2 linked regions of the Danio rerio genome follow. The protein of the gene in region 1 interacts with the protein of each later gene in a pairwise test. Links are inferred from orthologs where the notes say so. Each region holds a gene or a part of one and is shown on either strand. Other genes may lie near its edges.

Region 1 (6,104 bases):
TACTCATCTTTCACTTGTTCAAAATGTATTTGAGTTTCTTTTTTCTTTAAAAAAATAAGATATTTTGAAGAAAGCAGGAAACCTGTAACCATTGATGTCCATAGTTTTTCCTACCATAGAAATCAATTGTTACAGGTTTCCAGCCTTCTTCATAATATGTTATTTTGTGTTTAACTCAAAGGATCTATACCTTAGAGTGTTCATCTCAAACTCTGGCAACAATAATTTTCAAGGTATTTCATTTTGATTTGATTTGAATTGATTTATTCATTTTCGAAAATACATTTCAACATGGTCAAAAATGGAGCAAGATGAAGCACAAGCTTATTATTTTCCCACTCCATTACCACACATGTCATTCATCACTTAAACTTATTTCTTCTTTTACTTATCTCTTATTTTTACATGAGACACATTTAATCCTTTTGGCATCTTTGACATATTGTATGTTTGATTCTATTTGTACATTTACTTTTTATAACATAGACCCCCAAAAAATACATAGTACTGCAAATAGCCATTAATTTAAATTTCATCATACCTTTCTCATTTGATCCTTTTTCAATCACCTTCATCATTATATTCCTTTAATGATGTATAATTATACAAATTTTAAAATTGAGTAATATCCTGACATTGTTTGAAAATCTGTTCCAGAATGTTGCATAATTTCACACCACAAACAGACATACACAAACTTTTTAAAGTTGTCCTTGTTTTCAACCTCCTATTATGTTTTTCTCTCAGATTATATCCCCCTTGTCTTTCTTCAAAAAACTTTTGTATGCATTTAGGAAGTATTTTATTCCCAGCTTTAAACATTAATTGTGCTGTTTTAAATTCAACCAAATCATTGAACTTAAGTATTTTCAATTTAAAAAAATAAAGGATTTGTATGCTCCAAATACCCCACATTTTCTATCAGTCTAATTACTTTTTTCTGCATTGTACATAAGGATTGTAAGTAAATATATATTATATTGGGGAATATATATATATATATATATATATATATATATATATATATATATATATATATATATATATATTGGGGTATATGTATTCCCCCAAATTTCCACACAATAGCTCATATATGGCAACATAAGTGTGTTATATAATATATACATTGATATATTGTCCAGTATAAATCTTGCTTTTTACACTATTGCTACAGTTTTTACTATTTTTGATATTACATTATTTATTTGCGGTTTCCGCAACTAATTTTATGATCCAATATAAAACCAACAAACATAATTGCATAATCTCTATACTTAAATACTTTATTATCAATTTGGAAATCTATATTATGTCTACTTTTTAATTTCCCAGATAACAAAACCTTTTGTTTTACTTATATTTAATGACAATTTGTTTACGTCAAACCACAATTTCAATTTATTAATTTGTTTTAATCAACTCCATAAATTTTGGTAAATTATGCCCAGAACAAAATGATACTTGTATCATCTGCAAATAAAATAAGCTTAAACAACTCTGAAATCTTACACATATTATTAATGTAAATTATAAACAATATTGGACCTAAAACTGATCTTTGTGGTATGCCACACTTTGCATTTAAATATGATGATTTATGGTTGCCAATTTCCACAAACTGTTGCCTATTTTTTAAATAACTAATTATCCAATCCAAGGCTACTCCTCTAATACCATACCATACCATCATTTAAAGATGTGACATAAAGACAAATAAACCACAACCTGTCCTGATAAGGGAAATTTTCAGAAATGACTCTAAAGGACCTTAAACTTATTACACAACTGTCAAGAAGACAACAGAAGGCATATAGTCAATTGTACACTAGAGTTATCCAACAAAGTTTTGATTACACTGACAATTTAGAACCCTTCAAATCTTCTTATCAAATATGATACAGCCTGCCCAGTAAGTTTAAAGTAGCCACTGAATGTCAGACTTAAAAACTGCACAGCAGTCGTCCATTTTCCACAGACACTGTCGTGGTCAGAGATGAAGAACAGCAAAAGGTAGAAGAAAGACAAGGGGAAAAAAGGGAGCAAGTATGAGGAGGGATTAAATGTGTGTGAGGATGGGGGTGGTGGAGGAGGAAGGGGCCACAGACAAAGTGCGAATGGGAGGAGGGTAGCAGGAGAAGGGGGCGGTGCTGGCGGCAAACAGCAGAGGACGGGACACAGAGGAAGGGGGTTTCTGCCAGAGAAAAGAGAGCAAACTTTGGCATGAGGAGGAGGAGCACGGAGAATGAGCATGTAGGAGAGAAGCAAAGTGATACAGAGAGGAGAAGCAGCAGAAGTACAGTGAACTGACTGGGATTGTACCTCCAGGACAGGCTGGGGAGACGCGAGGAGGCAGCCATGCAGAGCACTATGGGTATGTCAGCAACACCACTGGATTTATTGCAGCCTGCGAATGCACGAGAGTTCAGATTACCACTGCAGCTCACGGGAGCTTTGAAGTGATGTGAAATGAATGATTAACTTTCTTAAAGCTGATAGGGTTTGGGGTGAGAAGACGCTCTTTGAAGTTTTAGCAGCACTGTTAGTGCTTTCTGCTGTGCGAGAATGTTAATGATACTGTGTTATTTTGGGGGCTGAGTAAGTTGGGCTTTTGTTTTGATTTATCAGAGATACAAAGATACAATAGTGAACTCTGTTGTGCTTCATTTAAGTTTGTCACCAGATGTCTCCTTTAAAATGTTTGAAGTAATGAAGACAAAATTAAGACAGTAAGACTGTTACAAACGTTGGTATCTTGTCAAATATTGTGCTCTTTTCTGGTTCTCCAGAGAGAGACATGTGAGATTCCCACAGGAAAACCATATAAGCAGCATGAGGCGTAAACAAAAGTCTCAGTTTACTCTCATTTTAACATCACTGTCCTCTAGAAGACATAAATGAGACGTCTTTTGTGTTTTTTGTCACCTATAGGTATTTATATCTGCTGTAAAGAGTGTTTGTTGAGCTTGTTAAGTTTTTGTGGCTGGTTTGTTTGTTTGAAAGCAGGGCCTTGCGAGTGGATTGATTTACAGGAGTCAACTAAGCGGTTTGGTTTTGTTTTGTGGAGACCATTTTGTGGAAATTCAATGTTTTGAAACTACACTTCAGGTTCATATATACTAAAACATTTTTTACAATTCTTTTAGGAGTAAAAAAAATAGAACTTTAAATTCAAAATAGCTTGGCGCTATTTTTCCTCTTTCCTAAAATTTGTTGAAATTATTCAAACAAATGTACAGAAATCATCTGATAATACTGATGTGAAAGTGTCCCCAGTCAATCACAGCAAAGTTTATATAGAGAAAAGGTGTCAGTGTTGCTCATTAATATTTTCAGTATCTACAGTAACTTTCAGAACATCAGTATCTACTAGAGCTGGGTGATATTGCAAAACATATTATCACAATATCATGTTTCATATCATCTGATATTGACAATTATCTTACAAAATACATTTAGGAATATTAGATTTTTTTTTAAACCATTTTATTTTAATTTGCCAACATTACTAAGGCAAATATGTTCAATAGTCAAAAACAAAAATATTTAAACAAAATTTCTGATCTCTTTATAATAAAATAAATAAGTGTTAAAGAGACTCCTAAACTTGATGAATAAAATGCTACAAAGTGTGTGCAATGATAAAGGTAGAACAACATCTGTAAGATGTCAATAATAATGATGCAGTAAAACTCAAATTATTTAAATACATATTATAACAATACAAATTGTTAAATACTTAAATGGCTACATTACCCCTACGCTAAAACATGTCTCAGATGGGGAGCTAGTGGCTAGGATGCACAAGAAAAGAAACCAAAAAGCCACTCTGGCGACATCTTTACATCTTTTATTGTTTATAATCTCCTCAATGCTGCTATATGGCACTCATTTTCGCATGTGTTGTTATTCTAACCTTAAGTAACAAGTGCACGCGCATGGTTTCTGGAATTGGTTCCAATTGGAATCTGGAATGGTTGCAGAAAAACCATTGCTGCAACAAGTTTATGGAGAAAAGTAAAAAGCACTGCAGTGTTTGGCTGCGCTGTGTTTGTCTGAGGTAATTAGTCTGCCGTTATTACTGAAATGTGTATATTCCATACAAAGTGTGAGGCAGATTGGTTAATTCTACTAGCATGAATGGCGGTGTGCTCTCAGCATTCAGAAAAGTTCAAATGTTTTTAACTACTGTAGATGCGGCTCAAAAATGTGCACGGTTCACATGTGTATGTGTGCACCACCTGCACAACATGGGCGCGTCGCTCAAGTCGCGCGACTTCATTGGAAATGACAAACTTTCACCCTAAACTTATTGGCACTGTTTCCAAGGCACACGTTCATCAGCCACTTTTAATAAAACTATAGTGCTTTATACCGGAACTAAATAATTCTAAATCGTTTTTTTATCGATATTGACAATGGTGGTTCCGTCAATAAATATCGATATCAATTTTATCGCCCAGCCCTAGTATCCACTATAAAACTGCTCTTTAGTGCTTGATTTTACTTGTGTTTGTCTGACAATGATGGATTAAACAGAGGAAATTAAATTCAGAGTAGTGTTAAAGCCACACCTACCTAGGTGGGTTGAAGGTCTTTACCAGCTGATGCAAACTTCTGTACATGGGAACGTCTCCCATATACAAAATTACTGAAAACAACTTTTCAGTAAAGAGTTCCAAAAGGAATCATTTATGTGTGTGTGAAATGCCTTTACTGTACTGTTAAAAACCATTTCCGCTAAAAAGAACCTTATGTTGACGATGTAAACAATGTTTAATGGAAGCATCAATGCCAATGAATTGTCTTTTTGATCTACTTTTTAGATCTTTGGACTAAAAATATTTCTTCTATGGGATCACTGTGAAACTCTCTATTAGGCGACTTTATGTTTATTGCAAATATTTAGTATATTTTTGCTTTTTTGTGACCATAAATTAAAAAGTAACATGACTTCTCAAAAACTGGCCCAGATTGGAACGTCCGGTGTCCAGAATACACACATACACACTCCAATCACTCTTCGCTCAGTGCTTACATAAAGCTTCTTCAAACTAGTCAAACACCACTAAGCTTCTTGCACAGCATGATACCTGATCTATTGACATTTTGTTTTCGAATGGGATGAAGTTTTGAATGAACCCCCCCATCCCCCCACCACCCAAGTATATTAAGATTCCCGTTTGTGTTTAAAGTGGATGTGACTCAGCTCATGGCACATTCTTATACAGTAAAAGCCTGAAATAGAGTGGCCTGTTACTGCGTGTCAGCAGCGTCCAGACTCTGCTCCGGATGAGATCACCTAGGGGGGTGGAAAGGTGCTTGCGTCAGTGAGTCGGAAAATAATAGATGAGTTAAATCACTCTCATATGTTAGAGGGCTCTGAAATACAGCGTTAGTAAATGTGGTCAGCGCACTGTCTTCGTAAGGACACTACGTGCCCCGCCGGCTAGCCTTGTCTCACAGGTTTAAGGTCTCTAAAACACCTCGTTCTATCATTTTTACTGTTTCCATTTATGAGAAGCCTTTATACGCCAAGTGTTTATGTAAGACTGTAGCTTCCTGCAGACGTATATACAGAGGGAGAGCTCATTAACGTCGAGTCAGTCTCTGCTAACTGCACTGAATCACAGCTTTCCATGCCACTCTTTTTGCTCCCTGTCTGAGCTCGGCTGGAATCTGTCGGGATGGTGTCTCTATATGTCCACATCCTCTTGTGGCTGGTCCCCCTGTGGCATGTTTGCAAGTTTTCACGAGCAGCTTCAAGGTTGTCTTTTTTCTGTTTGTGGCTCCTGCGTGGTTCACCATCTCTGCAATTTTGTGATGAATTACATATTCATGCTGGCATAGTTTGTCTGAGGCCGCTGGTTATGTAAGCGCTGGTGTGGAATTAATTTAGCAGTATGTGCGTTGTGCCACTTTTTTTCCCCCGACTGCAGTGCATATCTGCACTGTGATTTCAGTTTGATCATGAGACTGATGATTATGGCTTGTCAGAAACACCGCAAGATTATTTATTTGCCTCTTTATGCTGATGCTTGGTTCAGAAAGCATCGACAGGAGGCGAAGAAGCCATTTTGAGAAGATCAATGGCCAAAGCTAGTAAA
Region 2 (5,506 bases), on another chromosome or scaffold:
TTGGCGGTTTATTCCGCTGTGGCGACCCCGGATTAATAAAGGGACTAAGCCGACAAGAAAATGAATGAATGAATGAAAAAGAAATAGAATGTTATTGTTTGCTATCATTTATATTTTCCAAATGTACCTAAAAAAACACATGGGTCAGAATGTATGCATCCATATTGAATTGTATTTTAGACATCCAGTGTCAGATAGTAAAATAGATAGTCTTTAAATCTACCCCGCAGAATGATTTAAGATTGTAACTATTGATAATGTTTGCTGTGTTCAGGCTGTGTGTGATTTATCTGCATTCACGTCTCTCTCTCAGGCTCATTCCATTGCTGTTAGTCAGAGTGCTGGAGGTCTGGAAGGGGCTCAGATCACTCACAGTTTGGCTCTGGCCTATTCCTCCACTTCAGAGCCTCAACACAATGGTGACCTAATGCTTTCACAATAATCTCACAATACTGGGAGTTTATGACACTCTGAGCAATATTATTATATTAGGAAATATAAAATGTGAGCTGTCCTTTAGATAACTTAGATGTTTAGATGTCTTCATTCAAAGTTGTGAATTTACTTTATGTGCAAAATTCATATTTTGCAAAAACCTTTTGCAAACAAGACAGTTTTCATTTTATGTGTTTAAAAGAACAAAAAAATCATTACTTTTTGGAAAACTAGTGTGATACAGCAGGGAAAATAAGTATTGAACATGTCACCGTTTTTCTCTGAAAACTGATTGTTGGGTTGCTGTGTTGTTGACTTGAAATTTTCCCCTGGTGTTTGTAACAATCAAAGATATCCATGTATGCAAAGAAGACAAATTTAATTAGTTACTAATTGAGTTATGCATAATAAAACGAAATGATGCAGGGAAAAAGTATTGAACACATAAAGAAAGGGAGGAGTAGAACAGCAGTGAAAACCCAGACAGCAGCTGATATCTCCTGGTAGTAATGTAGCAATTCTTTGCCCTTTGTGATTGTAAATTAATATTAGCTGATTCAGTCCAACATCTTCATTAGGATGATGGATATGCAATTAGGGTGGACATTTCAGCAAGACAACGATGTGAAACTCAGCCAAGGAAACTCTCAAATGCTTTCAGAGAAAGAAAATCAAGCTGTAGAATGGCCCAGCCAATCACCTGACTTCAATCCAATAGAAAATATAAATTAAAATCAGACTTGATATAAGAGACTTATAGAACCATCAAGATTTTTACACTTTGTTAAATCTGTGACTGACACCTGAGCAATTAACGTGATTTCATTTTCCATATGAAAGTTGTCTTTAAGCTGCCATCAACAAATGAGCCTTTTATATAAAGTATTCAATTCCTTTCAGTACTTGTTTTACTTGTGTCATTTCATTCTTATTACACAGAACTAATTTTTCAGATTTTATTTTGTTTTTAATTATTTTTATTTTTGTATTGTTTGGATTTGTACCAAAATCTTGTTCAAGTCCATGTCAACAGCTCCTTTAGAAATATTATTCCCAGAAAAAAACATGACGTCTTCAATACTTATTTCCCCACTGTATATGAATATTAATAATAAATGATTAAATAAAAAAATGAATTAAAAAAAAGTTGTATATAAGATTGCACCAGACAACATTGAGGCTGGTTCTTTGAGGTGTAGGCTATTGGCCTTATTCTGCAGTGTGGAAGTTTGCTCATGTTTGTGATCGTTTCAGAATTTCCGATTCAGTCGCCTATGGGAGAAATGGCTAGGAATAATAAACGGAAATGGTTTGACTACTTGCTCTACAAACAAGCGTGTTCATGCATGTAAGCATAAAAAGATGAATAATATAATAAGAAAACATCAGTTTGCAGCATAATGAGCTGTTTTAAACATCTAAAAATTAATTGAAGTGAATGAGACCGGAAATCTTAAGCCAAAAACATTCCAATGACTATGCCCACTCGTACATGCAGAATAAGGTCATTATACTGCAGAAAATCATTTGATGATAGAATTTCACTCATGTTTTGCAGAATTATTAAAACAATGTTTGAGATAGTGTGAAATGAGATGGTTTCCTGTTAATTCTAGTTATCCAATCACTGTTGATTGCTGTTGAGGCAGAATCTAACTTTACTTTCTTGATCCTCATCAAAATATTTATTCTGTAAACATGTTTATCCATTCACCTATTTATCAGATTAAAATGTATCCAACTCAATTTCAGTGTTGGGTAAAAAAAAAGTAATAATTTGCTATTTGAAGCCTTACTCAACACTAAAAAAACAAAACAAAAATAGCATAAAATAACATACTTTTACATTTACTTGAAAAATAAAGTAAGAATTTTAGTTTTATTTACAGTCACTTAAGTTACTTTTTTCCCCAATACTGCTCAGTTGTCTGCAGATGTTTATTATGCACATTTTTACAATTTATGTGAATCTCTGTGTTTTTTTTATGCAATGTCCTTAGCTAATGGCGGGGTTGTACAGTATACAAGTGTTTAGCAGGCAATACACAAGCACACCCTTTGTGTTACCTGTCCTGCATAACAAGTACACCAGTAGAGCTAAAGGTGACCTTCGGCTAATCAAATAGAAAACTTGACAGTATTGGAGTGGCTCTTCGATGGAAAGTGGACGCCTTGTATGAATACTACATTACTGTCATTATGTGCATCTCCTTTTCTCTTTCAGTAGATTTAGCAGCACGGTATTTTGAAGAGAGTATAAGTGCATATAGAAGTGCACTCGGCCCACAGGACAAACTCACACTGTCTGCTCAAGACGACTTCAGTCATTTTCTCCTACTCACAGGACAACACGAGGTCAGCTTCAACTCATCTTTGTAATCTGTGTAATATGGAACAGATGTGTTTTGTATTTGAAATATATAAAGTATGTACTACTTTAAGTTTTTTTTACATTATAAAGCACATTTCTACACTGTAAAAAACAAAAAAAACAAAACAAAACATTGATTCTAATTAAAGTATTAAGGCAGCCAGCTTTAGGACATTTTTGAGTTTACTCAATTAAAATCGAATCAAGTGCAATGCTTGAGTTGAAAGTTGAGTCAACTCAAAAACGCTCTGCAGCTACAGTAGTTGCTTTACAATTTTGAGTTGAGTCAACTTTTTTTACTGTGTATATGCAGCCGAATCTATAGACAGACTGTTTTGACGCTGTTATGGATGCAATTAATTTCACAATCATATGCAAGGTGACTGAAATTGAAATGAAAAATTCTAAAGATACTGAGCCATTACTAGTTTAAAAAGTAAAAACAAAACAATTATAATTTAAGGGAGAACATTAATATTTAAAAAAAAAAACTAAACTGAACTGAAACTCATTTTACGTTAATTTTATTATACTTTTTTTTGAAGTAATGTGTTACTTACTCATTAATTTAAAAAGTAATACTATTGTTGTAATATTTCTTGCTTTAATTGTAATGCGTTACCCAACATTGTAAGTATACTAAATGTTTGCAGATTAAATTGGACATACAAAAAATATATCAGTATAAAGATTTAAGTGACAATATTGTTACATGTTGTGATGATGCTACACAGTTGAGATTTGCAAGTATAAATGACAGTGGACTAGCAATCAGTATAATATATAAAAACCTAAAAAAACAAACAAAAGGTAAACAATAGTTTTAATTTTTTATTTATCATTTTTTATATTTTTAATTCAGTTAATCAAATGTAACAGTAAATATGAAAATAATAATAATGAGGGCAATTGTGGCGTAATGACTAGGAGTCAGGCTTGTAATCCAAAGATTGAAGGTTCGATTCCCAATAACATCAGGAATCAATGAGGGAAGTAAATGAATGGCGTGTGTACTCTCACTCATAATGTGTGTGTGTGCACATGGATGGGTCAAATACAGCAGACCAGTTTTCAAATATGGGTAAAAGCATACTTGACTATTCCTAATATATTTTCTTTTCATCAAATGCTGAAACTGAAACAAAACTGTTCTGTACATTGATAATAGTAAAAACAATATTGACTACTATTTAGAATCTTGTAGGATGTATCATTTGTACACATTTTGGTATGTGTTTGCAGTTCTAATTGAATCCAAATGGGATTGGGAGTGGGTAAAATTAACTGGATCTGCACTTCAGATTTCTAAACATCCTATAATATGGACATGCTATTTTTTAATATAATTTAGGATGGATAAATGTAGTCTATAAGCACTGTTGGTGTATTTACTGTGTGTTTTCAGAGATGTGCTGAGATCCAGAGAGAGTCTCTGTCCCTGAAGAAGAGCACGTTTGGTGAGCTCAGCACTGAGGTAGCAGAAACGCTGCAGCTGATTGGTGGAGTGGAGATGACACAGGGTCACATGAGACACGCCCACCGGACACTCAAGAAGGTGACTCAAATCATCATTCTGTTGCATTCATAGTAAAACATTTCTTTTTGCAGTCTAATAAATTTGGGATGAAATATAAATTGCTCTATTGATACTGTTGTGAATGAATCTCAATGAATCATTCATGCATTTACGTTTAAATTATTTTTCTTAGTTTGAAAAGTCGTAACTTGATCTTTCGTTAAAGCAGACCTCTCACTGGTGACGTATTTCAAACTTCCTTCTTACACTGTCCCAAGCAGATGCAGAAAATGGCCATTTTTGTCCTTACAAGTTTTTTTAACGATACTTTTTTTTTGAGAGTGAGTAATTACTTAATGTTAGTGAGACATGTAATGTATTTATATAACGCATTTATTGTGTATGGCCATACACCCAATGTGCTTCACAATCATGAGGGGGTTTCTCAACACCATCAGCCAGTGCGCAGCATCCACTTGGATAATGCTATGGCAGCCACAGGACAACAGCGCCAGTGCGCTCACTACACACCAGCTATTGGTGGAATGAAGAGATAGTGATAGAGCCAATTCGGTGGATGGGGATGATTGGGAGGCCATAATGGGTAAGGGCCAATGGAGGGAATTTAGCCAGGACACCGGGGTTACACCCCTACTCTTTACAAGTGCTATGGGATTTTTAATGACCACAGAGAGTCAGGACCTCGGTTAAATATCTCATCCAAAATATGGTGTTCACTGACGGTATAGTGCCCCCTTCACTATACTGGGGCATTAGGACTCACACAGACACCCCCTGCTGGCCTCACTAACACCACTTCTAACAGCAACCTAGTTTTCCCATGTGTTCTCCCATACAGGTACTGACCAGGCTCAGCCCTCCTTGGCTTTAGTGAGTAACCGGTCTTGGTCTTATGGCATAAGTTTGAATATACTTTTTGTGAACTTTATTGTCGTAGTGATACCAATAATGCATGATACAAACAACAGATGCTATAAATATATAAGGGAAAGAAAACATGAATGTAAATACTGTCAATCTAATATGAACAAACAATTATATGTTGAATTTTGGTATCAGTCACTCAGTATTTACTTTTAATCATGTTAAAATGGTTTAATACACTTTAATGAGATAATTTGCAATGTTTACAGTCCCCCAAATATGATCATCTTTGTGCAAAA

The links.
Region 2: the proteins of lzts2a (region 1) and ttc23 interact in binary tests that used the Homo sapiens proteins (3 or more experiments, as listed by UniProt). The two-hybrid records come from large-scale screens. The link is inferred for Danio rerio from reciprocal best matches to the Homo sapiens genes LZTS2 and TTC23.

Annotation. Positions count from the first base shown.
Region 1 is NC_133188.1:20,793,812-20,799,915, reverse strand, and holds the start of lzts2a (leucine zipper putative tumor suppressor 2a), read left to right. Parts: upstream 1-2,209; 5' UTR 2,210-2,371; intron 2,372-6,104. UniProt on the Homo sapiens protein: Negative regulator of katanin-mediated microtubule severing and release from the centrosome. Required for central spindle formation and the completion of cytokinesis.
Region 2 is NC_133193.1:22,229,901-22,235,406, forward strand, and holds part of ttc23 (tetratricopeptide repeat protein 23), read left to right. Parts: intron 1-313; coding exon 314-419; intron 420-2,659; coding exon 2,660-2,790; intron 2,791-4,211; coding exon 4,212-4,361; intron 4,362-5,506. UniProt on the Homo sapiens protein: Participates positively in the ciliary Hedgehog (Hh) signaling.